2 linked regions of the Schizosaccharomyces pombe genome follow. The protein of the gene in region 1 purifies or fractionates together with the protein of each later gene. This does not show direct contact. Each region holds a gene or a part of one and is shown on either strand. Other genes may lie near its edges.

Evidence for each region.
Region 2: the proteins of crm1 (region 1) and pdc2 purify together in Schizosaccharomyces pombe (affinity purification with western blotting, with the first as the bait; one study listed by BioGRID). This does not show direct contact.

Annotation. Positions count from the first base shown.
Region 1 is NC_003424.3:2,795,424-2,812,008, reverse strand, and holds crm1 (karyopherin/importin beta family nuclear export signal receptor Crm1), read right to left. Parts: upstream 8,086-16,585; 5' UTR 7,888-8,085; intron 7,622-7,887; 5' UTR 7,502-7,621; coding exon 4,265-7,501; 3' UTR 3,756-4,264; downstream 1-3,755. Other genes in the region: elo2 (putative GNS1/SUR4 family protein), read left to right, coding at 1-571; transport protein Ugo1, read left to right, coding at 2,202-3,467; SPOM_SPAC1805.16C (purine nucleoside phosphorylase), read left to right, coding at 10,109-11,056; HECT-type ubiquitin-protein ligase E3 Pub2, read left to right, coding at 11,778-11,956, 12,014-12,147, 12,243-13,845, 13,887-13,986; SPOM_SPAC1805.14 (uncharacterized protein), read right to left, coding at 14,182-15,540; rpl14 (60S ribosomal protein eL14), read right to left, coding at 16,423-16,585.
Region 2 is NC_003423.3:2,361,825-2,376,578, forward strand, and holds pdc2 (topoisomerase II-associated deadenylation-dependent mRNA-decapping factor), read right to left. Parts: upstream 9,790-14,754; 5' UTR 9,760-9,789; coding exon 9,683-9,759; exon of another isoform or gene 9,628-9,682; coding exon 9,527-9,627; exon of another isoform or gene 9,420-9,526; coding exon 7,631-9,419; intron 7,593-7,630; coding exon 7,422-7,592; intron 7,370-7,421; exon of another isoform or gene 7,367-7,369; coding exon 7,240-7,366; 3' UTR 7,011-7,239; downstream 1-7,010. Other genes in the region: PPR repeat-containing protein Ppr3, read right to left, coding at 1-1,179, 1,262-1,516; arrestin-related substrate adaptor for RhoGEF, Art1, read right to left, coding at 2,455-3,906; SUMO deconjugating enzyme Ulp1, read left to right, coding at 5,293-6,999; SPOM_SPBC19G7.18C (uncharacterized protein), read right to left, coding at 10,248-10,787, 10,834-10,904, 10,953-11,100; tbf1 (DNA-binding factor Trf1), read left to right, coding at 12,350-13,807; COG complex subunit Cog5, read right to left, coding at 13,916-14,623, 14,664-14,736. UniProt on the Schizosaccharomyces pombe protein: Activator of decapping that functions as a general and active mechanism of translational repression and required for P-body formation. Stabilizes the 3' terminus of mRNAs and modulates the rates of mRNA-decapping that occur following deadenylation.

The sequences.
Region 1 (16,585 bases):
CTTGGAGTTGATGGATACGGTGTTCTTGTTTTTGAAGAAGAAACCCCTTGCCTTTCTCCATTGCTACCACCATGGTATTACGGCTCTCTTGTGCTTTACTCAACTTCTCGGTCGCACCTCCGTCCAGTGGGGTGTTATTGGCTTGAACTTGTACGTTCATGTTATCATGTACAGTTACTACTTCCTTGCTGCTTGCGGCCGTAGAGTTTGGTGGAAGCAATGGGTTACCCGTGTTCAAATCATTCAGTTCGTCCTTGATCTCATCCTCTGCTACTTTGGTACCTACTCCCACATTGCTTTCCGTTACTTCCCTTGGCTTCCCCATGTCGGTGATTGTTCTGGTTCTCTCTTTGCCGCCTTCTTTGGTTGCGGTGTTCTTTCGTCCTATTTATTCCTCTTCATTGGTTTTTACATTAATACCTACATCAAGCGCGGTGCCAAAAAAAATCAAAGGAAAGCCGCCGGTAAGGCAGATAACACCTCTGTTGCTGCCGCTGCTGGCTCTGAAGCTTTAGCCGCTACCACTGCTACTAATGCTTCTCCCTTTTCTGCTCGCTCAAGGAAACTCTAATGGAGAGGAATGTGTACGGCGTGCAGACCCTTGTTTAGCTTTCTTTTGTATTTTCAAACTTTCTTAAGCGTAGTCCAATTTCATGGTACCGTCGTCATCTTTTTCACAAGGAAAAAAACTCAAAAGACGATACTTTGGGATTGAAATTGGAAAATATCATTTTTTCCAGCCATCTAAAAGTTCCTTGCTTTTGGTTTTTTTTATTTTACTCTTATGCACGGCTCTTCTAGGGTCGTCATTTCTTCTTTCTTTTTTACTTTCAGTTTTTTTTCTTTAAAAATTTAGATGGCGGATTTATTTCTTTGCTTGAAACGGTGGGAATGCATGGGTTTCAGCGTATGTCTGCTTCTGTTTAATATTTCTCTAATTCCTGAGACATAAATTGCAATTGGTTTATGGGGTGCTTTTTATCTTAATTTAGTTATTGCAAGCATCGATTTGTTACCCGTATGTCTATGGTCTTAATAGTATTTAAGACATCCTTTTAAAGAAAAATAGAAAGCGGGTTAAAATAGTCGTTTGCTTCTTTATGTGCCTTCGTTCTTCATTTCCCTTTTCTTTTGTGTATATTGGGTGACATTTCGACATCTTCAAGTTTCTGCGTTCTCTCTTTCTATTTACCATTCGATAATTAGGGATGCGTCGCGTTTCGAGTTCTTTTCCTTTCTGCCAAATATTTCCATTCTTTTTAACATCTTTTGTCTAGTTCGTGTGGTTTGCGTCTAGTTCAAAGTAATAATTTCTTGTTTCTAAAACAACCCCAATCTACTTGAACAAAAGTTAGTAAAGTTTGGACGGATATTTCAAGCTCGATGGAACGCTCCTTTTTCTACGTGTTCCTTTTTTCCTAACTTTCTACAAAGTTTTCTCATATTCTTTTACTTGTGAGTTTGATAGGCATTTACCTTAATGTACATATTATTATCGTCTATCATGTATTAATTGCTCGCGTAAACTTTGGTTTGTTGTTTCAGTGGATCAGAATGAGTTGAATGGCATTTGAAGGATGATCATTATATAAATATAGATATATATACTTATGTATGTGCTTTCAACAACTATTTGTGCATGTATTGAACCGACTTTGTATGGTCGTTTTTGAAGTGTTTTAGTTTTAAATTCTTGCTTTTAGTCATTGTGGAGATATAAGATTTGCATTTTTGTGTTTGACAATTTGAATTGAAATGTAAGTATAAAACATTTATTATTGGATTGTACGTCCAGTTATTGATTTTCATTTTCAAAGCAGGCGCACAGCAAACTTAACTGTTTGTTCTTGAGTTGTTACCAATTTTCATTAAGATAATTTAGTAGATTTTTTAATAATGTCTAGTGATTGTCGTAATAATATTTTGCAGAATTTGGTGTATAGTAACTTTTGGGTCCATTGCTTTCTGTGCGTATCATACCTTCAAGTTGGTGATACCTTACTATAAGCCATCACACTTTGGTACCAAAAAGTTTGTTAATTTACCAGAATTCAAAGGATTGATGAAGGTTAACGACTTCTTTTATTAATTTTTTATCCAAAGCTAAGCAATTTTTGAAATTATTTGCAGTTAAATCTATATATTGAATCATTCGTAAACGAGTTTGGAGAACTCATTTTGGAAAAGAGCAAGCATACAGCATGAATCCATACAGACCATATGTCGTGGTTAACAATGTTGAGCCTACTTTTTCGATAACTCCAGAACCAACGTTTGAGACGCAACCGACCATAAGCAAGAGTGAGATTTTTGAGACACTCAGAAGTATTCTAGTGACCAAATATTTAACGACGTTTTTTGTACAGCCATTGGAAGTAGCAAAAACTGTCTGTCAAGTAGAAGAATATTTACCAAAACGAACTAAAATTGAGCGTGATGGGAAACAAACAAAGGAGCCTTATGATGAGGATATTCCCGATGGCACAGAACAGGAAGGTCTCAGTGATGATGAACACGAAATCTATGCTTACTTTGAAACACCTACCACAGAAAAGGCAGTAACAGAACAGCTAGCTGAGAAACTTTGCGTCGATGCGTCTGGCTATGTAACTGATCCTTCGAATCTCATCGAGAGAAGCTATACAATTCATTCGAAAAGATTTTCGATTAAAAGTATCATTAGTGAGCTATGGGAGAAAGAAGGAGCTAGGGGTTTATGGAAAGGTCATACAATCAGCTTTTTGCATAACTTACTTTATTCCGGCCTACAGTCCTGGCTTTCGGCAACATTATCTGGAGCTCTCGCAATAGCAGATCCAAACATTATTTCACCTATAGATTCTGTTCGGCCTCTTCTTTCCCTTTTCATCAAATCCATTACTTCTGCGATCTCTGCTCTTATTCTATCTCCCCTTGATATTGCCAGAACAAAAATAATTCTTTTCCCCATTTCCTCATCTTCCTATTTGTCTTCAGCTTCTGAAACTTCTGGCAATTCGCATAAAAAATTTAAACCTCTTACTATCAGACAATGCTTGAAAGCATTGCCTTTTTACTGCCCTTCATCGTTAATTTTACCCACAGTTTGTTATGTCAGCTTACCACCATTTGTTTCGAGTGTGCTTCCACTAACATTCCGCAACTTTTTGGGCTCATCTCCTACACTTGATGCAATGGTTGGCTTGGGCACTTCAGCCGTTCAATTTCTTCTCAAATGCCCTTTAGAAATGGTACTTCGAAGAGCACAAGCCCAGTATGAATGCAACCTTCCACCCCAAACTATCGTTCCCGTAGGCAAATACACTGGTATCGTCGGTACCATATGGTGTCTTTTAAGCGAAGAAGATCCGGGTAAATTTGGAATAGAAGGTTTGTATCGTGGATGGCGAGTGGGTATTTGGGGAATGTCGAGTACCTTAGCATTGAACTACATCTCCTCTAATTTGCGTGAAGAAGTTGAATTTTAGTATTCAGGTTTTGGGTCTGATTGTCTGTTTATTAGACAAAGTCAGAAGAGACGAAAGTTCACATGGTAAATTACGGAATTCTCAAAAAGGTTTTAGTTAGGTGATGTTTTGTAATTTGGAATTTTTTTTATTCCAAATTACTACACGAATAGTCATATTTGTAGTTGTAAGTTTGATTTATGTTTAATGTTTTCGTTTTTCTTTCTTACCGTATTCTCTAACGGAATAGTAGTAGCTACATAATTTATTAAAGGTAATAATACATTTTCTAGAAGCAAAAACGTAGTTATGTGAAAATACGTTGGTGTTTCCTTTAGCAAGGTTGCATAACGCCAGCATTCAATAAAAAGGACTTCAACGTCGCATTGAGATCTCTTACACGAGACTTCATAGTGTTATTCAAGTATAGCTGCTCGTTCAATTTATAAACAGTATAAAAAATGAGGCAACCCAAATCCTTACAATGCTTTAATTTTCTAATTTACAACACTGCACGGAAAGTTGAATCTCTAAAGACTTTATGCTTTTTTATTACTTTTTTATATAGTTTGAATTGCAATCAATAACAACTGGCGCCATCATTTTGCTATCTAACACGTTGAATTACGGGCCATGTCATGTCAAAAACCCTTCTTGCTTTTCAAAAAAAAAAAAAAGAAAAAAAAGGAATTAAGTAAACTTCTCAAGTAACAGGGATAAATAACATCCACAATTAAGTCAATAGTAAAAGATACCAAATATATAATTCCTTTCATATTTTAAAGTTCTAAGCTTAAATACGTTTTTGCTGAAGAATATCATAGTTCTTCCTCCTCCATAGTAGGCATATCGACAGGTTTGATCATACCAGGAACAGTCATAGCTTTCTCCAGTTGGGCTTTTTGTTGAGCAGCCAACTCTTGTTCTTTCTCCTCCAAGTAAAGTTCAGCGTTATCCCCGCCGAATTCTTTCAATTGAATTAAAAAGTCACGTAAAGCAAGTTTAAATTTGATGCTGTCCTGATTAAGAGCTAGCACTGTCTGTACAAATTCTTGGATTTGGATAGGTTGAAGATGGGGGAAAGCTGTGACTAGTAGATTCATGATATACTGTCTTAAAAATAATTGATTGTTCATTTCCTGGGGGAATTGAGAAGGATCGTAGAGAGGTACAGTAATCTGGTTTGATTCAACCAGATAGAAAAGCCGAGCCAAAATTAAGCTTTGAAGCTTAAAGCCAGATTTGTGATCAGAGTCAGTCAAAACATACAATATATCTTGTAGTAAGCTAATATAATAAGTTTGGAAAAATGCATTTGAAACATCAGGTCCCATACTCGCCATGTTATTAATAAGTTCAAGTAAGATGTTAAGTCCGGTTTCTTGAATGTCGCGACTAACATGCTTAAAGGACCATACAATACTATTGATCACTAGTTTGAATTGTGGTGCCGGGATGTTGAGCAAAGCGGGGAAACAATTCAAGTTAATGGCGCGTAAAAGTTGAAAAAATGCTGCACGATGTTCGGGGTATTCCGAAAAATCTTTACTAATCATTTCAAGGGTGCATCCAAAAACAGCATCAAGAACAAGAGGAATCTTATCAGTAAGGAGTTCGCTAAGTTGATTGACAATGGTGGTTATCAAATTAAGAACTTCGGCATCACGAGCGTCAGGAACATTTTGTAAATAATCAAGCAACACTGCTTCGAAAAGCGCAGGAATGAGAGTATTTCCGACCAACTCCAAATCTTCCGCTCGACTTATATAAGCATCTACTAATTTCAAAATTTCTTTTTTGATAGTTCGTAATCCCCTGACGTGGGGAGTTTTGGTAGCAATATTTCCTTGGGCAGCAACCACTTCTGATATTAAACCGCTAACAGCCTTGTAAAGACCAAGCATATCTACATAATTTTTAGCAATTTGAGGATAGAAACCGGAACCAATAGAAGTACATGCAGCAACGTTTGTCTTTAGAACATTTGCTAATATTTTAACGGTCTGAGGGTCCCCTAAAACTTGAGCGTTTTGTGCAGCCTGAGCGACAATATTTTCCCAGGCCTGATTGGGTAACGCCATAAGGTCAAAAATGAGACGTTCTTGAAGATGTTTTTGAGGTTGAGCAGAAATCATATAACCGCACGCCTCATAAAAAGTATGAGTCTGTTGAGGAGTTAAATCTTCAGTCGTCTTGGCCAAGTTACGAATAATTTCGTTGATAAACGGCTCCGTTTCTCCCAGTTGTTGAGCAACAAAATGGCGACGACATTTTTGAGCAATCTTAATGAATGTATCACAAGCCATATCCTGAACACCTTCATGATATTCGTGCATAAACTCAAATAGCTTATTGACGACGGTCTTGAGAAATTTCCAATGAGCTTTTAAAAAGCGAGGATATTGACCTACAACGTACATAATGTTAGAGGCAACAACAGCCTTATTATCTTTGCCACGTTTCATTTCACAAAGGCCCAATAAATCTTTAATCACGTTAACAAGAAAGCGCTTTTCCATTTCTTCATTCATAGCACCGGATATTGAGCCGATTGCCCAACAAAGAGTATTCAAATTTTGCCAAGACCATTCTGTACCAACAACAATACGTGCAAGTTTTTCAGTCATAACGATTTCAGTATCAACCACGTCCAAGTGAGTGAGGTACACAAGAACCTCACGCATAGATTTATAAAGGGTAATTGTATCCGTCTCTTTAACAAATTCACGAACAATTTCACCTTCGTCATTTTCGACGATGAGGACTTCTTCGGGCTTGACCATGTTTTCAATCATAACCAATCGAAGAGTTGAAAGTATATCTTTATAGATATGTTTCCTTAAAGGAAGATTGGCTAACATATTAGGATTAGAAGAAATGAGAGATGTAGGACTAGAAAGATTAAGTAATGGATTCATTTCAGACATGGGGATTTGCTGCATTTCTTCATAAAGCTGAGCTACTAATTTTGACCAATATTCCAGGCAGATCTTGAAAATTTCTCGCTCGTTAATTCGCGAGATATTAAGAAGGTAGGAATGAGCATTAAGAAGGACTTCTTGATTTTCAGGATTTTCTAATGGTCGAAGATGAGAGCTAAAGAAAGCGCAAAGGAAGAGAGCCAAATTTTGGATAAAGTCTTGCTCGTTTGTGCTACTTTCTTCATAAGCCTCACGAAAATCAGTTTGTAAAGGAAGCATAGAATTAACAGAGGTCATCACAAGGTTAAACATTGTAACAAATTTATCGTTGTACTGAGGTTGAGAAGTAAGACTAGCTATTTCGGTAAGACATTCAATGGTAACGTTTCTAAAATCAGGAACATTTAGGAATCGATTTGTAATTAACTCAACAATGTTTGTTTCAAATATATAGCCAAGGGGTATCCAATTCAAAAATCGGAGAAGTGTTCCCAAGGTAGCCTTGATTAGGCTAGGTTTTTGCGCACGTTCGAGAATTTGTGAGCATAGTTGAAAAATCTCGGCGAATTCGCCACACATTTGGTTTTTTAAATTTTTGGTTTTGAGCTGAGTCATTTGCTCAGCTGAGTAATCAAAAATTTCTTCACTCAGAAGACGAAGGACTATCATGTTATTTTCACAAAGTGAAAGGTTTGTTTTACTGGCTTGGACAATTTCCGGGATGAAGTTGGGCCAATTATGAGGCCATTCTTGTTTAAGAATCTGAACGAGAGTGAGGTCCAATTTATTAAGAAAAGTTTTTTGTTGTTGCAGGACAGTTTCGTCTGACGAGTTCTTTATCATAACAGCAACAATATAATTGCGAATTCCCAATCGCTGCTCCTTGGGAAGCATTTTCCAACGAGTGGTGATAAGCTTGTCAAGGACGGAAAGAGCGATATATTTAGTTTGGGGATATTCTGATTTTTCCAAGATGGAGTAAGCCTGCGACCATGCATCTGGATGTGCCTGAAATTGGGTCAGGACTTGTTGAGCCTGTTGTTGCTCTGCACCGACACCTTGGTAAAAGGTTTGGACAACACGATCCAAAAGGGCAACGTCTAATTCGCGATCGAATGCCAGGATGCCCTCCATATTTACAAATCAAAAAGCAAAAAATGTAAATTGATGGTTGGCAACGTATTGAACAAATGTCTTAAGTAAAAAGAAAAGGATAATTACCTCAACCTTATGCGATTGTATATGTATAAAGGACTTCAGCAATCAAGTTAGAAATTTGAAAAAAAAAATAAAAAAAAGTAGAAGAAAAATTAATTTTATCGAATAGAAACAAAATAATATAAATTTTTAATCTCCTACTTGCTGATTAATTACTCCTCCCTTGCAAAAATAATAGAGAAAAAACAATAATTAACTCAAACAAGAGATCGAAGAACAGGAAATCGAAAGATAACAAGATCCTTCCTAAAAGAAGACCAAGGAAAATAACACGTATCTACACGAGCGTTCAAAGTGCTTACCTCCTTACTATAAATAAAAACCAAATAAATATTCCAAATTCTCTTGTTTATAACGAAATTCCTCGTCCCAAGAGATGCTTCACGCGATAGAAATTTGTCTTGTACTCAATGGAAACAAGAGAATGAAAGAATGTATACAGTTAAAGGCTACTGCCTAACGTCCCAGGGTAGAAATGCAAAAGAACAAGTGTTGTGTTGGAGGTAAAAGGTGTGGCCGCAAGGCTGGCAAAGAAACACGAAGAAGAATAGCAAGCATGCAGCGTATCCAATCGTTTTGCGTTATCTATTTTAAGGAAATTTAACAACGTGATTATAGGCAGAAATTGATGGGAATGAAGTAAACATAAAATGGAACGAGAATGATGGCGATAAAACTGAGTGTATCAGCAGATTGCAATTTTTTAAAAAAATGGTATTAGTTTTGAAACAAAATTTACTTCCTCCGGTAAGACGTTCGGTCGTTTCCGTGAATGGGAGAAATGCGGTAAGAATTTGATCGTAACGTCCGCGTTTAAACCAGAAATAAATGTGTCGTACGTGGATTTTTCTGTTTGTTTGTTTTGAAGTATTTAGCAAAGACAGGTCATTTGAAAAACATCAATTTATTTTTTTAAATTTTTTTATTATGAATTATTAGGTATTTTATGGTTTAATTATCAATTTACAAGTCAACGAGTAAATCAAAACAGAAGGAAAGTTTATCATTCAGTAAATTAAAAATTGTTATGAATTTAAAAAAATTGAATTACAGCTAGAATCATGTTTCCAAATTATTTTAACCAAGTTTATGGAACATCGGCACGAAATAATATACTTATTACTAAAGATTTGCCATTTCATTGTGCTTTAGTAATTCGCCTTTTTTGCTTTAACTCCTATAGCCACACAACAAAGATGTTGCTTATGTAAATAAAGGCGACTTTCCGTATGAAATGCTTCGCGGTTACAGCCACAATTCTATATGGAAATAGAAAAGAATGAAAATTGAATTAAACTGATCATGTTCGTTATTAACTCGCAGTTACCCGACATTTAGTGTGTTAAATAAAGAAAAGGGAAGGAAAAAAAAATCATTAAACCAAATATTGACCTTTGGAGTTGGCATGGCTCTCAAGGTATAAAAAATCCAATGCATTTTTTTTAACTAATTTATACGATTTTAGTCAGGTTGTGTACATATACTCTAATAAACCCAGACAATTTACAGTACACGCAACTATTTTTATAGATATATACCTCTATTTAATTAGTTTGTACAATTAAGCGGCTATGCCCGAGTGGTCTAAGGGGGCAGATTTAAGAGGCTTCTGCCTTGATCCCTGCTGTTGTAAAACGCGAGAGTTCGAACCTCTCTGGCCGCATTATATTTTACATTTTTAAATGTAAAATTAACGTGTTTTTGATTTACAGTTGAACTAAATTTTTTTCAAATTTGTTGAACATTTTGCTTTTGTTTATTCTTTTTTTTTCTTCTTTTTCATTATTCTTATCTGCAACATTTCCTTATCAAGCACGAAGAAAATTTGAATTGATAGGCGCTTTCATCCGACCAGCACTGTCCTAAATATCGCATTTGTTTGCCAAAGCCCGTATATAAATTATGTATTTCGGTGACTTTTTGTAATACCGGTTTCTGCTTTTCTGTGATATGTTGAAGTAATAACATTTGTAGAAGTATTTATATAGACCATTTCTTACTTAATTCCCTGTAACAATTGTTGGATTCAATTCTGTGTTTTCCAATTACTCTGTTCTCACGGCTAATATTAATTTTATTACACATATATTCAGCAAAAAACAAAAACAAAACAAAATTAAATTAAGCATAGCATCAAGTGTGTGCCAAAAAATCGTCGTTTTCTATTTATTTTTTACTATTTTGTTTTGATATTCTATAAAGGTCAATTGCCAAGATACTCCCAGCTCTTCGTCTTTGCTTGCACATTATTCAAAACTCTGTGCATTCTATTGTTTGTATTTCAGTTAGTATTGTTATTGCTATCGATTTTCCCATCTAATTTTCAAAACAAATTAACACTGATTCTATCGGCCCTATTTACCCACCACTGCATATTTTTAAAATTCCTTAAATTCTTTTTCCTGGCTACTAATACGCCTAATAAATATTAAAGATAAAGAATTCCCTTTTAGATATTAGTTCTTGCTTTCTTTTTTTATACAAAATTTCTGTTTTTTTTTTCGAAACTCTTCTGTAACAACAATGACTGCTACATCTTTTCTTCACCAGGCAAAACAGCAACCCCATCATACTGAACCTTACATTAAAGCGCTTGAGGCTCGTGAATACATCATTGAACAAGTCCCCGAAGAGCTTTCCAAGCCCAAAGTTGCCATCATTTGCGGTAGCGGTTTGGGCACATTAGCCTCTGGATTGTCGGCTCCAGTTTATGAAGTTCCTTATGAAGATATTCCTCACTTTCATGTTTCCCATGTTCCAGGTCACGCATCCAAATTGTACTTTGCCTTTTTGGGCGAGAAACGCGTTCCCACTATGATTTTGGCTGGTCGTTACCACTCTTATGAGGGATATCCTATAGAAGCTACCACGTTTCCTGTTCGTCTTATGAAAGTCATGGGCGTTGAAGTCATGGTTGTTACCAACGCAGCTGGCGGCTTGAATCAAGGTTTCAAAGTTGGTGATTTGATGATTCTTAAAGATCACATCAATTTTCCTGGCCTCGCGGGCATGAACCCTCTCAGAGGCCCTAATGCACACGAATTTGGTGTACGTTTCCCCCCATTATCGGATGCTTATGATTTAGAATTACGAAAATTGGTTTACGATGCTGCCAAGGCTCACAAGGTTAGCCGTACAATTCACGAAGGTTGTTATGCATTTGTATCTGGTCCGTGTTTTGAGACTCGCGCTGAAAGTCGAATGCTTGCTCTTATGGGAGCTGATTGTGTCGGCATGTCTACGGTTCCCGAAGTAGTCGTTGCGCGTCATTGTGGTATTCGTGTTCTTGCCATTTCTTTGGTTACCAACAACGTTGTTGTTGAAGAGAGCCCCTCTGCCAAAGACTTAGTGGAGGTTGATTCGAATGTCATGTCTAAGGGTGCTGCAAATCACTTGGAGGTTTTGGAAGTTGGTATCGCTGCCGCGGCCGATGTTCGTACCATGGTGGAGACGATTGTCAATTTTATTTAATCACTCCTCTTTGACAATCTTTTTTATCCAGAATAAAAATTTCCTTTATCTGTTATACATCCTTTTAAGCTATTTTATTTATCTAACGTAGGATATATATCCTAGTCATTTCGCTTATTTTGATGTCTGTAAATTAGATGTTTTGTTGCCATTCAATATCTTTTCCAAAATATCCTTTTACTCATCAATAACCGTTTCTTGCTTTCTTTAAACGAACTCACTAGACAATATTTCCTAAATGTCGTTTGTGTTATTTTCCAAACACCAATTAGGAAATATTTGTTTTTAGTATACAAAGTTCCCTGGTCACCTCTAGACTTATTTTTTTATAGTTAATGATACATTTCGCTTCAAATTTCTTAAATTATTAATTTAGAGTCATATTGCCTTAAAACTTTTTGATAATAAACCTGTTGCTTTCTTATTGTAACGATATCCTTCTACCACTATCGCAATACCCTTTCAAAAAAATAACGCGGTCCAAAAACATTTCGCTAATCAAATTTATGGTAGTTTACCAATCTCTCTTGGATCCGTAATTGTTTCATCTTTTTCCACCATATTATTGAAAGCAAGTTTTCTTCGAATTGCTCGCAAAATTCAGTCCTTTTTTTACATTTTATGTATTAAGATTTGGTCTTGCATTAAGAAGATTAAAAGACCAATTAATATAACCTGCATTCGAAGGAATTGGTTTTCTTGGGTATAAAACACTCTATGAATGGAAAATATTCGCTTTGAAGTCCAATTGACAATCCTTCACGTGGAAGGATTATGGAAGAATGGGCTTTTACGATCTTTAAAGCCTTACCTGCTTATTAGTGTCGATGATGACCAGTTTATCAAGACGAATGTTGCTAGTGGCACACTTCGTCTTTCATGGGGCTTTACTCAAAAATTGTAAGCTATAATTACTTTTAAAAATTCCCTTTGTTTCTAATGATTTATTTCTTTTAGAACTGTGTCTCCTCAAAGCATAATACTTTTACAATTGTTCGACGAAAAACAAAAAAATGAAACATCTGATGGATTTGTCGGTTTGGGGGCAGCAGTGGTAAATTCGTTCCTGCCTTTTAATAACCCAAAGGATGGTAAGTTTTTTTTTTTTGCTATAAGCTAGTTTTTCTATGATTTATTATGCTTGCCAGTTTGTTTACTTACATGAACTAATTCTTTTTTCTAAAAGACTACAAAACACGTATTACTTTAAGATCTCCATCAGGATCTTATCGAGGCTCCGTAGTTTGTTTATTTAAACGGTCTAAGTTTTTACCAGAAGAACTTCCTGCTGATAAATCGCAAATTTGTACCGACATTATTGATGATGCTAGTGGATGCGCTTGGGAAACAAGAATTGATGAGTTTGGGCATGTTTATTATTTAAAATCTCCTCAGCTATCGGTGATATCAGCCATTTCTCATGAGAAGCTTGAAAATTTGACTCCTAAACAGCTGAAAGAAGTTTTTTCTCAGTTTCTTTTTAATAATCAATCGAAATCTTCTTTAAAAATTAATCTGGAATACAAAGTAATCAAACATTTATTGGAACACTACCCTTTGGCTTTGTCTGTTCGCCAGCAAGTGGCCGTCGAAAAGGGACCGCTTCCAGCCGGGTGGGAGATGCGTTTAAGTGAAGACTATCATGTTTATTTTGTGGATCATTCTACTAAAACGACTACATGGAGTGATCCCAGAGATAATGTTGTGGCTTCTGACAGCGTGTCTGAAAATACAGATTCAATCCAACAAATCAACGATGAATATCAAAGAAAAATCGCTTACATGTATGACCGGCCTGAAATGGCCGTTAATGATGCTCAACTTCAGCTAAAGGTTAGCAGAGCCACTACATTTGAAGACGCGTACGATATAATATCAAAGTTATCCGTTAGCGATATGAAAAAGAAGCTCCTAATTCGATTCCGTAATGAAGACGGTTTGGATTATGGAGGGGTTTCTAGGGAGTTCTTTTATATTTTGTCTCATGCAATATTCAATCCTGGGTATTCCTTGTTTGAATATGCTACAGACGATAACTATGGTCTTCAAATTAGCCCCTTATCTTCTGTGAATCCAGATTTTCGTTCCTACTTTCGGTTTGTTGGCAGAGTTATGGGATTGGCTATATATCATCGTCGATATTTGGATGTTCAATTTGTATTACCTTTTTATAAACGGATCCTCCAAAAGCCATTGTGCCTCGAGGACGTAAAGGATGTTGATGAAGTTTATTATGAAAGCTTGAAATGGATTAAGAACAATGATGTTGATGAATCTCTGTGCCTAAACTTTAGCGTTGAGGAAAACCGATTTGGTGAATCTGTGACGGTCGATTTAATTCCAAATGGCCGTAATATTGCAGTCAATAATCAGAATAAAATGAATTATCTTAAAGCTCTTACGGAGCATAAACTTGTCACCAGTACTGAAGAGCAATTTAATGCTTTGAAAGGTGGATTGAATGAATTAATACCTGATTCGGTTTTGCAAATATTTAATGAAAACGAACTTGATACATTACTTAACGGAAAAAGGGATATCGACGTTCAAGATTGGAAGCGTTTTACAGACTATAGGTCTTATACTGAGACTGATGACATTGTAATTTGGTTTTGGGAGCTACTGAGTGAGTGGTCTCCGGAAAAAAAGGCGAAGCTTCTGCAATTTGCTACTGGTACCTCCAGGCTTCCTTTATCCGGGTTCAAGGACATGCATGGTAGTGATGGCCCACGAAAGTTTACAATCGAGAAAGTAGGGCATATCTCTCAGCTTCCAAAAGCTCATACTTGGTATGTTAAAATTTTTTAAGTACTGTTACTAATTTGAACAGCTTCAATCGTTTAGATATTCCGCCTTATAATTCCAAAGAAGAACTAGAACAAAAACTCACAATTGCTATTCAAGAAACTGCAGGATTTGGTACGGAGTAAAGGGGGTGTGTATTAATGGGGACGTGGTGTAGAGGAAATGTACAATTTTACTTAATTATTTCTTTGAATGCTTTTGCGAATATTTGTAAAATAGTTTTTTATTAAACGAACGTTGTTTATGTAATCAATAATATGTTTTGCTAAACTAATAAGTTACACAATAAAGAATTAAACTAGATCAAACAAAGTGTGCTTTTATCTTTTTTTTCTCAAGGGAATCATTGATCTTGAATTGCCAGATGCTTGTTTTTCGGAGATGTCAAAGTCAACGTTAGTGTCTGTCAAACTACAATCTCCCGATTGGCCATTTTCCAAAATCTCTGATAATTTTCGTTTTGTAGATCGTAGATTAGAGGTGGCTACAGTTTTCGTAGTCTCCAAAAATGAGACGAACTGTGAGGCATCTGCTACCTGTTCCTGCAAACTGTTGTCGTCTACATCGTTTGTAGGCTCGTTAGCGTTTTCTGCCGATACAAATGAATGCAATAAATGTGAATCAACCGTGTCATCATGGTGGTCCGTAGAATGGTTGGTATGTCTTTGGGAGAGATTTTTGAGACGAGCAAATGTATCGTCAAGATCAGTGTACGATTCATCGGTTTCCGCGGTTTCCATGTTGTAATGTAATAAACCATTTTTAATTCCATTACCTTCCACAATAAAAGGAGCTAAAGAAGCGTTTGATACAAGCGAAGGATGGTCAGGCTTGCCCGAATGCTGGTGGTTAAATTTTGATATCTCTGAAAGATCACAGAAATGATGATCTAACAAATCTATATGATCTTCCGTATAGTCACTGTTTTCATAATTGAGATGAACTTCTGGAGCATTGGTTTGGATTTCTGAAGCAAAATTATCTTCAGGCTCCACCGTCGAATAGCCCGGTGCCGAACCCTGCATTAAGTTAACATCATGATTAAACTGTGAATCTTTGGGTTCGACAAATTCTTCAGTTATGGAAGCGGGAGAAGCATAATTGACAAATGTGTTATCTTGATTGAAAGAAAATGATTCACCAAGTTGAGATTCTGATTTATTTTCATTAGACAAATCTTCTTCCTCTTCACTAATAGCTTCATCACTTTCAATTTCAATCATTTGTTGGCAACCATCACCGTTGAAATCGTCTTCCAATCCAAAATCATGCTCCGAAACTTGATAATCATCTACCTCAGGATTCTCAATTTCAACATCGCCGTCACCGTCACCGTCAGACGAAAGCAGGTATTCAAATCGCTCAATTTGACCAAAAGTCTCTTCACCTGCCACTTCGCTAGTGTCATCTATAGAAACATCGCTTTCGTGATTGAAGTGAAGCAGTTGATCTCGATATGAAGTTGGAGATTGATTCCAAACATTAACAATTGACATTCGAGAATGCCGCCTCCTTTTTCTGTCAGACGTGCTTTTAATAGGTTTAAGAGTAAACGGAGAGCAACCGTTTTCGTCTGAGGTTTTTTTCATCCCATCAATCCAAGTCATAAAATCATTTACAGAAAACATGTCTAAGCTATTACGACCTTTCCCAGGCGTGAGGGTATTTCTTCGAAACATGATTAACAGGCCAATAAAGATTCAAGTATAAAAATTGATTAAACCAAGAAAAGACGAGAATTAAAAAGATGATTAATGTACACTTGAAAGAAATAAATAGACTAAGTAGTGTGTGGTCGAGGATTTTTTTTTTAAATTAATAAAAATGAAACAAGCACCAAATGTCGCCGTTTTTTTAACTTTTTTTGATGGCTTTTGTCTCCAATGGACGTACGTACGTATTTCTCAAAGAAAACAGAATAGATGAGTTGAATGTATTCAAATCCTGCTGTCTTCAAAAATGTTAAATGTACTTAAGTCCAAAAGAGCACAACAAAAGAGGTCGTTCACAGAAAAAGTTTTGGAATTAACCTTCTTGTCCGTCAACGCTCAAGGCAAAAGTCTCAATACGTGTCCAAACCAGTTTAAAAGGAAATTAGAACATAAAAAAAACGAGAAAGCAAGAATTGGAAAACATCAACACGGTAAAGAAGTGCAAAGTTGAGTAAAATTAAAAAGTGGTTGAGAGCAAGTAGGAAACACGAGGCAAACTGCACGCTTACAGAGATAAGTCATTAAAGTTGCTAAAAAAAGATATTTAACGAAGAACACGTTCTTTAAAAACACAATGAAAAATATTCATTAGTAATAGCAAAACACATTTGATTACTGCAACTAAAATGTAAATTTGAGTTGTTTACACCTCTGATTCAGAAAACTGCAAATTTTACACTGAGAAAATGGTAATTGAAATTCAAATTCAAATATTAAAAATAGTACAACTTTAGGGAAACAATTCAATCTTTACAAAAACTACACAGTGATATACGATGTATAGGTAATTAGATACAAAATGGAACCAATTTTATAGATGAGCTGAAATGTTCGATCTAAACACCAAATCTAGGCCTTGAGAGCCTTAGCGACAGCAACGTTAACTTGTTCACGACGTTGCTTCTTAAGGCGCATAACAGCAAAGCGGTCGAAGTCGTTCAATTGGCTACGAACCTTCTTGGCTTCCAATTTCTTGGCCCAAGCAGAAGAGGCCCACTTGTTGCAAACATCT
Region 2 (14,754 bases), on another chromosome or scaffold:
CTCTTTAAAGTGAGTGTAATCAGGGGTTACAGAAGAAGTTTGAACTTCAGCTGAAATTAAAGCCCGAAAAATGAAATGAAAAATTTGTTCAACTTTGAGTATCGAGGGCAGTAATTTTTGCCTCACCCAGAAATTATCCAAGATGTCTTTCATATAGTCAAGTTTACCACTATAAGCAATTAAACGTATTAACTCATAAAGTGTAGAATGATTTGGACGTAAACCATAATGCGAAAGATCCTGAAGCAATGAAAAAGCGACTGTTTGAAAACGAACATCGGTAGCTAAAGCATGAATTAAATTATTAATAACGAACGTTGTAGGGGTTAATGGATCAATTGGTCTTAATTTCATCTCATTGTATAAGTCAAGTGCCTTTTCTGGATTATACTGAGAAGAACATATTTGAATCATAAGACCGTATGTTTCAGCCGACGGAGAGATGCTAGTTGCTGTAAATTTCATAAAATTGAAAACTTCCCACGCCTTTGTAAATTCTTTGGTTCGAGAAAATGCCTTGATACAGGCATTTAAGAAATCCTTTGATGGGGTGATTGAGACTGATTTTTGTTCTGAATAGAGTGCAACTAAATCCTTGTGTTTACCAAGGGAAGAAAGTGCAATAGCATATGATTGATACACCAAACCATTCGGAGGAGCATTTGATTTTTGATACAAATGATACAATTGGACAGTCTTACGGAAATCGCCAGATGCGTTGGTGGATTCCATAAGCAAGACAAGCAAATCAGGCATAACTTTCATACCACTTTCTTCAACAGCTTTCCAAATTTCTAGGGAACTTTTTGAAATAACAGTTTGAGGAAGATAGTTAAAAAAGTTGACTATTTCTACAATATCAACCCCTAAAAAGCATTTAGGAATGTTTAAGAGATGGCGAAGATGACTGTTCCATTCTTCGGTAGAAACCTGACGATTTAACAACGTATTGTCATTAGCTAGATTTGAAACAATATGATCGACTGAATAATTATTGCTGGCTGTGTTCTTAGATTTCAATAGCCCGATTCTCGTAAGTAGAAGTGGTCCAATTTTCAATGGAGTTGTTCTCCTCAATTCGTGGTTACCTGTAGATAAATGATTTTCTTTTTCCTTATCATAAGAGTTAACTTCTGATATAAATTTAGTCCAAACTTCATCAGGAATGTTAAGGGGAGACTATGCTAACGTTAGTAAACAAGACAGTATCTTTTAGCAGTGTTATTTTGTACTCAAACCCTTTATTTAATAAATATTTTACCTTTTTGTTTATGTCATTTAGCTTAACATCCTTTAACTTTTGTTCGTATTCACGTATTTTCAGATCTAATTCTTTCTGTGCCAACTTCCAAGATGCCTCATTTGTTGAGCATCTAGCTTGTATATTATTGTTCAGGAGATTTTTAGCAATATTAATGTTATTAGGGTTATCTTTATGATAATGTAAACGTCGGCAAGGACCACAAAATCTTCTAACAGCTAAAAGTGTTAAAGAGCCAGAACATTTGTTTAGCATAAGGTACAGTAGCTTCTGAAATCTCAAAAATTAAAGATGTTTGATCTTTTTTCCTGATAAAGTAGTCAATAATATATAGATATTAATACCTGGATTGAAACGTATATTTTGTGGATGGAAAGTTAAGTGGGTATTAAACGCTTTGATAATGATCTCGTATTTTCATTCCTCAAAAGAAATTTAATTGCTAATATTTTAAACTTTTACTTCTGGTTATACTACTATAAGAATGGATTATACAAACTTAAGGAAGAGGTGTGGAAAAATTTTACTCACAATGAGCTTAATATCTAATAAAATTGTAACTGATTTAAGAGTGTAACCGTATACTGGGCTATTAGATAACAAAATGCAATCGTTATATATATTAAGCCTTACTCAGATTTAAATGCTTACTACATCTTTACTTTCAAAGCCACATACATGAAAGTGGAAACGCCGACATAAGTGCAGCCGATGTGATATTCAAACCACATAAAAAAGGAAAGTAGTACATTATATAAGCAGGTTTAAAGCTGTTTTTATTAAACTAAAACCTACTCTGAATAAAGTGAGATTTAAACTGTTGACACAATTTAAAATAAATAGTCAGTTGTACAAAAAAGCAACCAAATAGTGACCAAAAGTCCCACTTGCTAAATCTAGTGAATAAATAAAACAATGAAGACATATTCAATAGAAATTGATTTGATGTCGAAGAACAGGAATACTTTTTAAAACAAAACAAAAACAAGAAGACCATTATTTTTACTCATAGCTTTTGAAACCAAACAAAAAAACGAGGGACAAATAAATAAACAAAGTGGGTATTTAATTGCAAACCAAAGGCTTGCAAATATCGAAAAACACAGGGAAATACAGAGGTAAGGCTTATGATCAACAATATCGGGATTTACATTTGTAGTAAAGCACAGATTGAGCTTGAAAAATGTAACTTCCTAAGATAACAGGACAATGTCATCATTCAAATAAGCAAACATATTATTTTTGGAAAAATCTGAAGCTCGCACAATCCTAACGTTTTCTTCGAGGACAACGCCTCCGTGGCTTTGGCGAACGTCAAGGACTCGGGTTTGAATTTCATTAAGTAAGGCTTGACTTCGTGATCGTTCCACTGGGGAAACAATAATTGGGTTTGTTATTTCAATGTTTCTAGCACGATATAATTGTACTTTGATGACTAGCATGTATTGTACAGAGTAAAGATCAGAGGTGGTCGTGAATCCAGTGATATTTGCATCTTCAAAATCAATGTCGGGGAAAGGTTTAGAAAGGCTTTTCGATAAACCTTCCGATGTAAGTTTCATATCATCCAAATCTTCTTCGTAACGTAATACTTTCTTTTTACGAACTATTGGGCTTGAAGAAGAGGGATGTATGAACGTGATGTATTCAACCAAGGAAAGAGAAAGTTGCTGTACTCGTATTTTAGAACCATTATTAGGCATGATGGAAACGAAGACGGAGACGAGATCCGAAGGTCCAATACACAGTTTGGGTATTGATACCTCTACTACAACACGACCATCGCTACTCACTTGCCGAATATTAGTAGGGGAATTATACATCCCCCAAGAAGATAGATTATCATACCTGCTGAGTGACACTGGTACAGTGGTAGTAATATCCGGTACCCCTAGTAAACTCATGTGAGCACGTAGTTCATATTTCGTGGAGCATATTGTACCAGACCGATTCAATTCAAAAGTCGATGGAATTTCTGAATTTTCGGGAAACGGGATTTCAAAGGGAAGGTCCATTGACCATACCCTATGAGTAGCGTAAGGATCTGAAGAAGAAGAGAGTATAGGAGTTTGGTCACCAAAAGGAGTGATAGATGTGTCATTAGAGGAAGATGTGGTGGATACTGATCTAAACGGAGTGTAAGGAGGTTGATATACCGAAGATCCAGAGGCATTAGGAAGATGAGGTGGAGGGATAGGTGGAGTAGTACGGTTATGAGTATGAACAGAAGGATTATCCTGATCAGACGCATAAGAATCTACTATCCAATCGCTAGTAAGGGAGGGTGGAGGTGATTTGATAGACAAATCGCTGATAGAATAATTATTATCATTAGGAGGTATGTTATTTTCAGGATGCTCGGAATGAAGTGGAAACAAAACCTGCCTTGCCAGACACTTATTATCTGATAAGTGATTACTTATACCCAAGGATGGTATTACCACTGATTCAATTTTCCATAATTCTAACGTTATTTGAACCAAAGCCAAAGGTTGGTGAATTTCTTTACTTCGAACTTGGACGATACCAACCAACCTTGGAGCTGAAGTTGGTATCCCATTAAATCCAGCTTGGAAATCCAAATGTGGTAACGGACGTATCTCCAAAGGAGAAAATTGCCGTATTAGCGTACACGGGGATGTCATGCTCTTACATTTAGTGAGTTCCTCTGGCTTGGTGCTGGTTATGGGAAGTTGAATCTACCAAATGGTAGACAGGTTGGTTCAGTGCAGCAATGTCAGATCTAGATAGCTAAATAAAATCTTTTAAGCACTCGCTTAAACACTGCTAAGTGACTTTTTATAGCAATGAAATTAATAATATTTTATTATATAAAAATCTAATTTTAGGCCAAAAAATGTACTTTTGTTTCCATTCCATAGAATTAAAATCAAAAGCCTACAATTGATAGCCAAGCATCTAAAGCTAGTATCTGTTGTAAAAAAGTTCCATTTTGATTACAATAGTAAAAACTAAAATGACTTTAATAGCCTAATTTTGAAATTGGTATTTTCAACTTAAAATTCACTTACGAAAGCCTAAAATATGTTTATTCTTACAGCAGAAGGCTTTTTTTTTGAATTTTTGAATTTTTGAAACCATAACACACGATTGATCGCAACATACATATACGAAATATAGAAGAGAGACTGAATTCAAACGAAAACAATATAGCAAGATATCAGATTATTGAGCAGCAGAAGAAAGGGAAATAAAGCAAGTAAATACTATTTTACTAAAAATCAAACGAATCTCTAAAAGAACAGATATTTCACGCATAGTTAACAGACAATGCATAACAAAAAATTCAAAATCGAGAAAAACAAGAATCAAGAGCAACTGGTAATGCTAATTTTTGATAGTTATATGAGCCGTAGTATGATAAAAAACCCCGGCGATAATTGAGGAAATTCATTGCTGATGTACGACTCTTTTCTATCTAGGAAATAATGATTGTTTGAAGGATAACCTGAATATAGGGCTTTCTGTTCATTCAAAGATCCCTTCAGGAAGTGTTAAATGGTTTGTATAAAACTAACTCACATTTTCCGATTTATCTTTTCATTTTCAGGGCATATATCAGAACTTAAAACAATTTACTAGTAGCGATACGCTACCACTTACTTATTAAACGCTTAAAAGAGTAACACAGTGTACTGTCATGAATGTATATTTTATAAAAGCAATATGATATTTAATTTACATTAATATACTTGTAAGCTTCTCACGGCTAAAAGTAGTGATAGCCCACATTGAAGTAGGATTTTAGTGTAATGAAATCAAACACAGTAGGCCCTAAAGATAAACGGACACTTACATGTTAAGCAACATAATTTAAAATCTTACAAGCAAAGCTAGCGGCTCGAAAGCCAAACATTGTAATATAAACACAAAAAGTAGTTTGTTTACAGTAAATACCGCAATACTCGTATAACGAGGTATTTTCACAACGTAAGCAAGAACGCGCTCATCCTTCCAGGTTGTTGTGTGTCACAGCCTCTCGCGATTCACCCTTTACAATTCACTCGTGAATGATAGGAAAACGCAATGCGTCAAAAAGGACGCGTCAGGATGATTGTATTACATATGAAGAGTATCAAAGGAAACGTAAAAAGACATTTTTGAACACGTTTGTTAATATTTGTTCTCGTACAGTTACTTATGCAAAACTTTTTTTGACAAAAACTCCCATTTCTGAATTGGATCGCATCGCTGGCGAGGCGATACCATCTAATAGTAATAGTACAAATTCAAAACTAGAGCCTTCTACTAAAGCCCCTGAATCTCGGTTTTCTCACATAAATTCCAAGACTGAACGTGGTTACGTGACGGTCGAATCTGATATGTCTTCTCACAATACTCTTGACAGAAATAGTAAACCTACCGTTTCTCATTCATATACAAATTCTAGTAAGGATGAAAAATTTTTGGATCCCATTGCTCTTCAAAATCTATTTTCCCCTGCCTCTGACACGCATTCTCAAAACATCCATGACGAAGCATTATCTCCATCAAGCTTTCGTGTGTCTCGTTCGAGATACTTCCCCCGACCTCATCGGTCTTCCAAAAATTTATCTGTTAGTAATCGGTTACAGCTTGCGGTTTTTAAGGAAACAACTTCATCGACATTATCCCACGGTAATTCCGTTGAGGCTGACGAAATAAACTCTTTTAATCCTACACCTTTCTCTTCTTCTCCTCTGCACTTTACGAACTCCTCTCCAAATCCAAACTCTGACATTGTTACACCGGACAAGCAGCTAGATGTTGTTAGCGAACACGCCAGATATAAACACCTTCCTTTTACGGCTACGTTAAGAAAGAAAAGTCCTCATGATTCAACGTCTCGGAAAGCCTCTTTTAGGTTCGTTCAATCTGATCAGCAACCAGCGCGGAATATCGTTACTTCTGATATCCAAAATGAAAAATCATTACTGTTGCTAATTCGAGATTTGAAAGAAAAGCAAACAGAATCTTTTCAAGATTGGAACGAAGTTGACTTTTTACAATTAAAAGGTTTGGAAATATCTCCACCCCCCACTCGCCCCAAGTTCATTCCGGAACTTGAGTTTCCTGATAATGCTCGAAAGCGTGCACTGAAATATTTAAACCAAAGCAATTCTGTTTCCTCTTCTGAACCCATCATCACCAAATTTAATATTCCAATCACGCTTAAAGACTTGCATACTCTGCGGAATAGACAATGGTTAAATGACGAGGTAATTAATTTTTACATGAATTTGATTTCGGAACGCTCTAAAATTGATTCATCCTTACCTCGGGTACATGGGTTTAATACTTTTTTTTATACATCTTTGCAGCGCCGTGGATACGCGGGTGTTCGAAGATGGGCCAAAAAGGCACGCGTTAATATTGCAGATATGGATGCTGTATTTATACCAGTACATCTGGATGTCCACTGGTGTATGGCTGTTATTAACAAATCGAAGAAACGATTTGAATACTGGGACTCGCTGGCCGGAAGCCCTGGTAAAGTTTTTGATTTGTTGCGCGACTATTATATTGCAGAAACAAAAGGTGCCGTCGACGTGTCAGATTGGGAAAATTTTATGGATGACAATTCTCCAAGACAACGAAATGGACATGATTGTGGAGTTTTTGCTTGTAAAACTGCTGAATGTGTATCTAGAAATGTTCCTGTTCAGTTTAGTCAAAATGATATGCCTGAACTACGAATCAAAATGGCAGCTAGTATTATTGATGCACAAATCTATTAAATATGTGCTATAAACTTTTTGTCTATATACTTATCGTTTTTTATATTAATTTCTTTCTCGTTCAATACATTTTATTTCATATTCAGCGTTTTCAAAAAGGACATAATTTACTTAAATCTATATTAGAGCGTATGCATTTTTTAAGTAGCAGGGAATACTCTAATTAATAAATCTGAATCCAGGAATCTCAGCAAATATAGCTTTTGAAAAAAAAAATACCCGCATATCTTATAAACAAACTTAAGCGCTGAGCTGACGAGCGTCGAGCCCCATTGCATTTAAAAACAAATTAACATTGCTGATGCGCACAACAGCAATTTCAGAAGGTGCCCGTTTGCTAGTAATGATGTTATCAAGTACTCTGTCCCTATTTTTTACATATTTGTTAGTACAAAAACTCGACTAGACATATTTTAACGTACCTAGTTTCAGAAACCAATGTAAAATGTTGTTCAGAGCTAGCAGCAGTAGCACAAGCTGCTAAGAATTCCCATGGATAAGATTCATCAGCATAAGCTCGAGCGTTAGGTGGTGGGAATACCGTCGAGAAATGACCTTTTACGCGATTAAACATAACATTGAATGTATTTTCCCTAAATAGTTAGATGCTGTAAATACATGTATAACGTACCATTCTTCTTTTTCATTTTGATTTACAGTGCCAGATTGCTTTAAAATTTCTGCGCGACTAATGAATAGAGTAAGGAACGACAAACCAATCTTCGTCTGTATTAAATAAACAGCATTAGTGCGATTGAGAAGTTGAGAAAATAAGTTATTTATAGTTTCCAAATCAAGTTCATTAACAATAGTGAGCAATGGAGGGATGATGAACTGCGTGAAAGAACTCATTTCGGAAACAACGTCCAAAGGCAGCTCACCGTTAACGTCAAATGTTCCCCTAAGGACTATATCAAGAGAATCAAAATTGTAAACTACGACCTTTAAAATCGAAATTTGTTGCTCTTTGGACAAATGTGGGAACAAGCGAGGTAGCAGCCTCATTCCTTTGGGGTGAGAAATTATAGAAATGAATGGAGGCCTAGTCTTAGAAGATGCTTCCAATGATTCATTTATGTATAATGCCTTCCAAATGGACTCCAATTTCTCGCTTAAAGTAGTTTTCCATGTATCTATTTGCTCCTGATCGGTAGTTTCTAGCGTTGAGGCTTTACGGAGGGCTTGCTCAAAGTCAAGCAACAAGTCATAAACTTTCTCAATAGCGTGCAATACATCCTTCTTCGTAGAAAATCCAGAAAAATTGTTTAATGATGAATTTGAAGATGCTGGTTCGGTAGGACGTTTAACATTCAACAATTGTCGTGGTGTGCGAACAGTATTAACAGCAATTTTACCAAGAGCACCTTCTAAAGACAACTGAGTTGCCTTAGGGCGCTCTTTGGCAGAAGAAACCAAACGCTGAAGTTGCTGTTGTAATTTCTGCATAGGATTTTCGGAGCGACGACCACGACGGCGATTATTGCTAGGTCCTAGATAAGTCTGTATAAAATGACTGGCTTCTTCCTCGGAAGGCTTGCGGCCTCGAATAATTGAGTAAACGCGATAATAAAAATCATCAGATTCGGGATCCTCCGACATCAATTGCGATATTTGAATTCTCGCAATAAACGATTTATCACTGCGTGTCATTAACCCAGCACATTGAGCCATGAGCATATGATCACGCTCTAACTTTTGACGTTTTTCATCAAGGTTCTGGTTTTGAATTAATTGTTCCTGCTGGAAAAGATTAACAAGGGAAGCAGGAGGAGCAACACTTGGGTTGTACATGCCGTTTTGAGGATATGGCATTTGAGGTACAAGGGAAGGTTGCATAACAGGATTGGGTATAGCTTGCGAAGGATGTACCATATTAGGAGCAGCTAATCCAGCAAAATCAGTTGTAGTGCTAGGGATGTTTGGTTGACCAAAAGTAACATTACCAATACTAGCCGCACTAATCGCCGGGTCCAATGAAGAGATGTTTTCTCGAGTTACTTGAGCAGCCATTTCGGATGGAACAATGGGAATAGCGGGTTGAGAAGGTGGTTTTGGAGCGGTCATTGAGTTCAATAACTGTTCCTCCAACTCCTGCAAGCTAAAAACCTTCTCAGATGGTTGGGCACCCAAACGATCTTGAAGAGAGGCTACCTCAGGTGGAATAATAGCCGGCTTTTCTGGAACAATATTTTCCCAAATCGAAGCCATAGGCTGCAAATCGGAAAGCTTATTGATCGCAGTAGACGCAGGTTCCCGTGAAGGAAATTGTGAAGCACCATTAAGTCTACTAACTTGAGGTAACTCTGAAGAAGCTGGTTTGACAGGTTTAGCGAAAATATTTTGTTGATTAATTTGGTACTGCTCATCTTCCAATTGTGCAGATGCTTGAGCGGTAGTACCTGAAAAATCAAAATCACGTCCTAGAATTGTGAGAAAAAATATTAAAATATTAAATACTAATAGCTTGCAATATCCCAGATATGACAGCCGAGAATGATTACAGAATCACAAGCACAAAGGTACATACCTATACTTCCAGCGCTAACACCAAAAGTCTCGTCGTTTAGTTCATCTCCGGCTTCATTTAATTGATTACCCAAATCGTCGTAGGTCTCCTCAAAGTCAATGCTAAATATACTTGTGAGCTTAAAGTATCATATTTACATTAATATTAACGACTTACCCATCCTCTTCTAACTGCCCTTCGTTAGGAAACATATTTTCCTTTGGAAGGGTAGTATTAAACCCAAAAAATGACATTTTATGGGTTTATGGTAATGAGAAGTTGGTGGTAGCTAGGTGGGCGGCACTGCATACAACAATACTCATGACAGTAGATTGGGTTGGTTCGACGCAGACTGATTCATGGCGTTTTATATATATTTTTACTTTGCGTTCTTTTTTTATATCTGAATTTTAAAGTTGTTATTTGGTTTGCTATACCAGTAAATCTATCCCTATTTTATTTCACATCAATCTTCAAGACTAGCTATTAAAACCTATCACGTATAGATGTATATCATAAATATGAATTTAAATTTATCTCTTTTTGAAAGACTGAAATGTATCGAAATTTATGCATGAACATACATAAGTTGCTTGCTCAAGCAAGCTACATCAATCTGGCAATGCAGTATAGAAAAAAAGAAATATCTACTAAATTTAACTACTTTACATCATAAATTCAGTGACACTCAAATTGGTAAAAATTAATTTTAAATTATCGTAACATGTAGAGATAAAGGAAATTATTTGGAAGACGATGAATCATTCCAGATCAATTGATCAAATGCCTCCTGTTCGTGAGAAATAGGTTCATCCAACTGTTCAGAGCCTAGATTAGAAGTTCGGGAAGGAAATGCTTCAGAATTTTCTTGTCCACTAAAAGCACTATCTGTGGATTTAACACTCGAGTCTTCTTCGTAAAATGGAAAAGAATTGTTACCGGTATTTCGATTACGGTTACGAATAGCTTCCCATGCTGACGCTGGCTTTGATCGATCTTCAAAGCCATTGTCTTTAGAGTACATGGCGTCCTCTTTCTCCGTACTCTGTGAATTCGTAAAGGGATCTTGACTAGAAGAGGCACCAGTATTCGGCATACTTCCAGGTAATTGATATTTTGAGTTTTTTGGAGGGAATTCAGAAGATGAAGAAGGAAATCTGCCTTGTCGCATCGTTGTTCTTTGTCGAATAAGGGAGTCTTGTATTTTGCGAAGTATTTCAAAGCCATCATCTCTTTGACGTATAGCCGACAAATTGTATGCCAGAGTAGTAATCTGAGCAACCTATTCATAATTTGTAAGCTTGAGCTTAGTATTACTTAAAACTTACCCCATTTCCAGCAAGACCTCCTATAATTGATGTTGCATACAAGCGGATTGGAGTAACCTTTTTGTTACGAGCTAAAAAATAAGAAAGTTATTTTCAATTGCTTGTTCGAAATCTCATACCTAAGTATAATGGGAGAGAAAACCCGACTAGCATCCCAAAAATCGTATTTCTTTTGACACGGTATTTTGCATGATTTAGAAATTCCTTTTGGTCATCACTGAAATGGTTTTGAGGATCATTTAACATTCGTTCCCAAAAAAAATCCATGATAATAAACGTTGGAAGCGATTCCTGAGGCTACACAATAATGTCAAGAATATGAAACGTGCTTATACGGGTTATGTTAGCGAAATAAATGTAATTAAATTATTTGCGGACTGTACAATTTAACCCAATATATAAAAATTTGAGGCCTTTCTAATGTAAAAATACTACTACTAAAAGGTAATAGTACTCATCACTTGTTGCCTTATGGATAGTTTGGATACTGATGTAAGAGGATGTGAATAAGGAGAATCTCTAGGGATTAGGACCATCTAAATTTCCCAGCTACTACAGTGATACTTGGCATGAATAAGAAATACGTATCTGAATAAAAATTTGACACACAAGATTGTTCTGTTGAAATTTCTTATGAAACTGATAGACTGAATTTTTTTTGGCTGGTAAGCACTTGTGATGAAATATGCAACTTTTTCGAACTACGTTTTACATTCCATCTTTCAATGAAACAGACCTTGGTGGCATCAATTCGTGGTATACGATTGTTTTGAATTTTAATATTGCAAGCATATATGTTCAACAGGAATTTCCCAGTTGTTAAATAAGTCTATATCGTATAATTCTTTGTCATTAACCGTATTTATTCATTTTGAACTAATTTAGCACAGAATTCTATCTCGTAAATTAAACAAGCGCCACTGCATTTTACACAGCTAACGAAAAATACAAGAAGGCAATTGAGAAATAGAGAAATAGATGCAATACAGACTTGGTCTTTTTTTTTAAAAAGTTTTGCCAATTTAGACGGATTTTGTATCTAATATGTAGGAACTACTAGTAGTAGTTACAGCTTATTCATTAGTTAATAATGTCCAGATATCGCTTCTACAAAGGAATGAAATGTTGATAAAATTAGTAAAGAAATACAACGATATAATGGTATTTAACACATCTGGCTTATTGGAATTCGTTAATAAAAATAACGAACGCCAATGAAGTGAAATATGCAAGAGATTTTTTATTACGAGTCAATTAAATATACGCTGTCCTAATCAATTGACACACAAATACCTGAAAACTCGCATTTGGTTGTTACTTTGCCTGCATTGGAAGGATATATTTTAAAAAACCTTGTAGTAAAGAAGAATTGGAACTTTTGATGCAAGATTTACTATTCGGTAGTCACTGGATATCGTTGCTCCTTGGATTTGTTTAGCAATCGATTAATCAGACTGCTTCTCACCTATAGTTTGTATTTTCTTTGATCAATTGAAAAACTACGATTTCCAAGAAAATGTCAAAACGATCCTTAGACCCTAGTGATGATTTTAAGGGTCAAAAACGCTTAGCGATTGATCCAGAATCAACTGCCCTCGAACAAGATCGCCAAATGTTACAACAATTATCAGAACAAAATTCTGAACTCGAGCCTCAAAATGTTGCACCAAATGCAGAAATTCCTTTAGGGTTTGATCTTTCCGGAATTCAATTTAATATGACGCCGGACTTTTATTTACGCATGAATCAAGGCATGGATTACGCTTTCAACCAACCTAATCCTATTGCTACACCTCAGCAACTTCTTCGTACATCTCTTATTCCTACTCTTGGTAACCTTAGTAACATAATTTTGTCAATTCTTGGGAAGCCAGTACAAGAGGCATCTGCCATTGTCACTAATCCAGCCTCCGAAATGGGTATGGCCTTTACCAAAGTAATGAATATGTTTCGTATGGTAAAGGACATTTATACTGAAGAATCTTTTATTTATTCCTCTGCCATTGGTATGAGGACGCCGAGTCAAAGAAGTACGACTAGACGCGCAAATCTTGCTATCTTTCTGGCAGCTGTCTATGGAGCGCTACAAATTGGATTTTTTCATTTGAATGAAAATTTTCTGGAGGTTTTTGCTCCGGACGAATCTAATATCCTCACTAATCAGGGCACTCTTTATATGGAACTCAAAACCCAAGCATATATTTCGGCTATGGCTCAGGCAGAACGTCCCAAGGGAGACATATTAAACGATCTTTTTCCCTCTGACATGGCCCATCGATTTCTTATCCGACGAAATGCTAAGCTGGATGACAAACTTACTTATGTTGAAAAGCAAATCATAGAGAAATGTACGGCTAGAAAAGAAAGATTGGCAAACTTCTCCCCACAGGAAGCTTTAAATGAAGTATATCCATGGGGGAAATTTTTAAGCGAGATTGCTTGTTACATCCATAACAATTACTCGTCTATTTCGGCCATTCCAATTCCTGCTAACTCATTCAAACGACGATCCAAGAAGAACGGATTGAGGTTTAAGGCTGGCGAAGCCGAATCATCCCCTTCAGAATCTGGTTCAGACCTGACCGATAGTCTCGCATTTGGTATACCATCTTCAACTTTTGACGGCTCCTCGGAAACACAAAATGTATCCAGTGTCGTTCTTTATGATCAGGTTCGACATATGACAAATAATAACCTAAATAACAAGCGTACGAGGCGCGTAGCCAATCGTCGATCTTGGACAAAAGAGGAAGAGGAAGCATTGCTTGATGGTCTTGATTTAGTAAAAGGTCCCCGGTGGAGCCAAATTTTGGAGCTTTATGGTCCTGGAGGCAAAAAGAGTGAAGTTTTGAAATATCGCAATCAAGTTCAGTTGAAAGATAAGGCTCGCAATATGAAACTATTTTTTCTCAAAAGTGGTCAGGTGGTCCCCGCAGCATTACAATGTGTTACAGGCGATCTTCGGCGAGATTAAGTAGTATCAGGAGTTTATTTCATTCTTGATTAAGTTTGCGATTTTTTTTTAAATACTAAAACGATTAAGCGTGAGGCATTTTATGTATAAATTATAATTATTATTAATCTATGGGTTTTTTGGTGCTAATACTCGGAGGCTATTCATTACAATTGAACATTCCCGTGTATCTTTATTTACAATTTCGGAGGATGACCTGGCAATAGCTTGTTCCACAATATGCGTAACTCGCTGAAAATCGCTTCGGAATACCCGCAAGAGTATTGGATCACGGCGATCAAGCATTTGCATTTTGCTGCTGATAGAAATTGCCAGCTCTTTGAAAAAATAGATACAAATAGTTGCACCATCAAGGATAAAATTTGGTTGCATTTGAAAATATTCTAATAAATTTGGGTAGTCTGGATTACAAATATTAGCCTTTTGAAGTGACCTTTCCCAAAAGACGCATTGTGCACCAATCTTTGAAATTTGGTACCACCCGTCTTCAAATTTGGACCATATAGTAGAATTTGCCGCTGAAGGATCTGTACTGTTATGTAGGAGTCTTCGTGTAGTGGGGGACAGTTGGAAAATCGAGTCGAATTGTATAATGGCCTTCTGTATACGAGAACTTAAAAGACGAGTTAAGTCCTGTTCTAACAAATATTTGTCTAACATATATAAAACAGAGCAAGCATTTGTAAAACCATTAGAGTTCACACTGAAAGAAAGTTGATCTTCTTGTGATAATAGATAGCTGGATGTTTCTTTTATAATTCTCGATCGATTGGTTATATTAAGTTTTAAGAGTAAAGAAACGGACGATTGTCTTTTCTACAATAATTAGCCAAGAAACAGAAAATATATTTCATACCATTAATGGAAACCGGCTTAATAATTGATCAGACTCTTGTAATAGTAAAGATGCTTGATAATAGCGTGAAAGTCTTGAATTTGTTAGCATA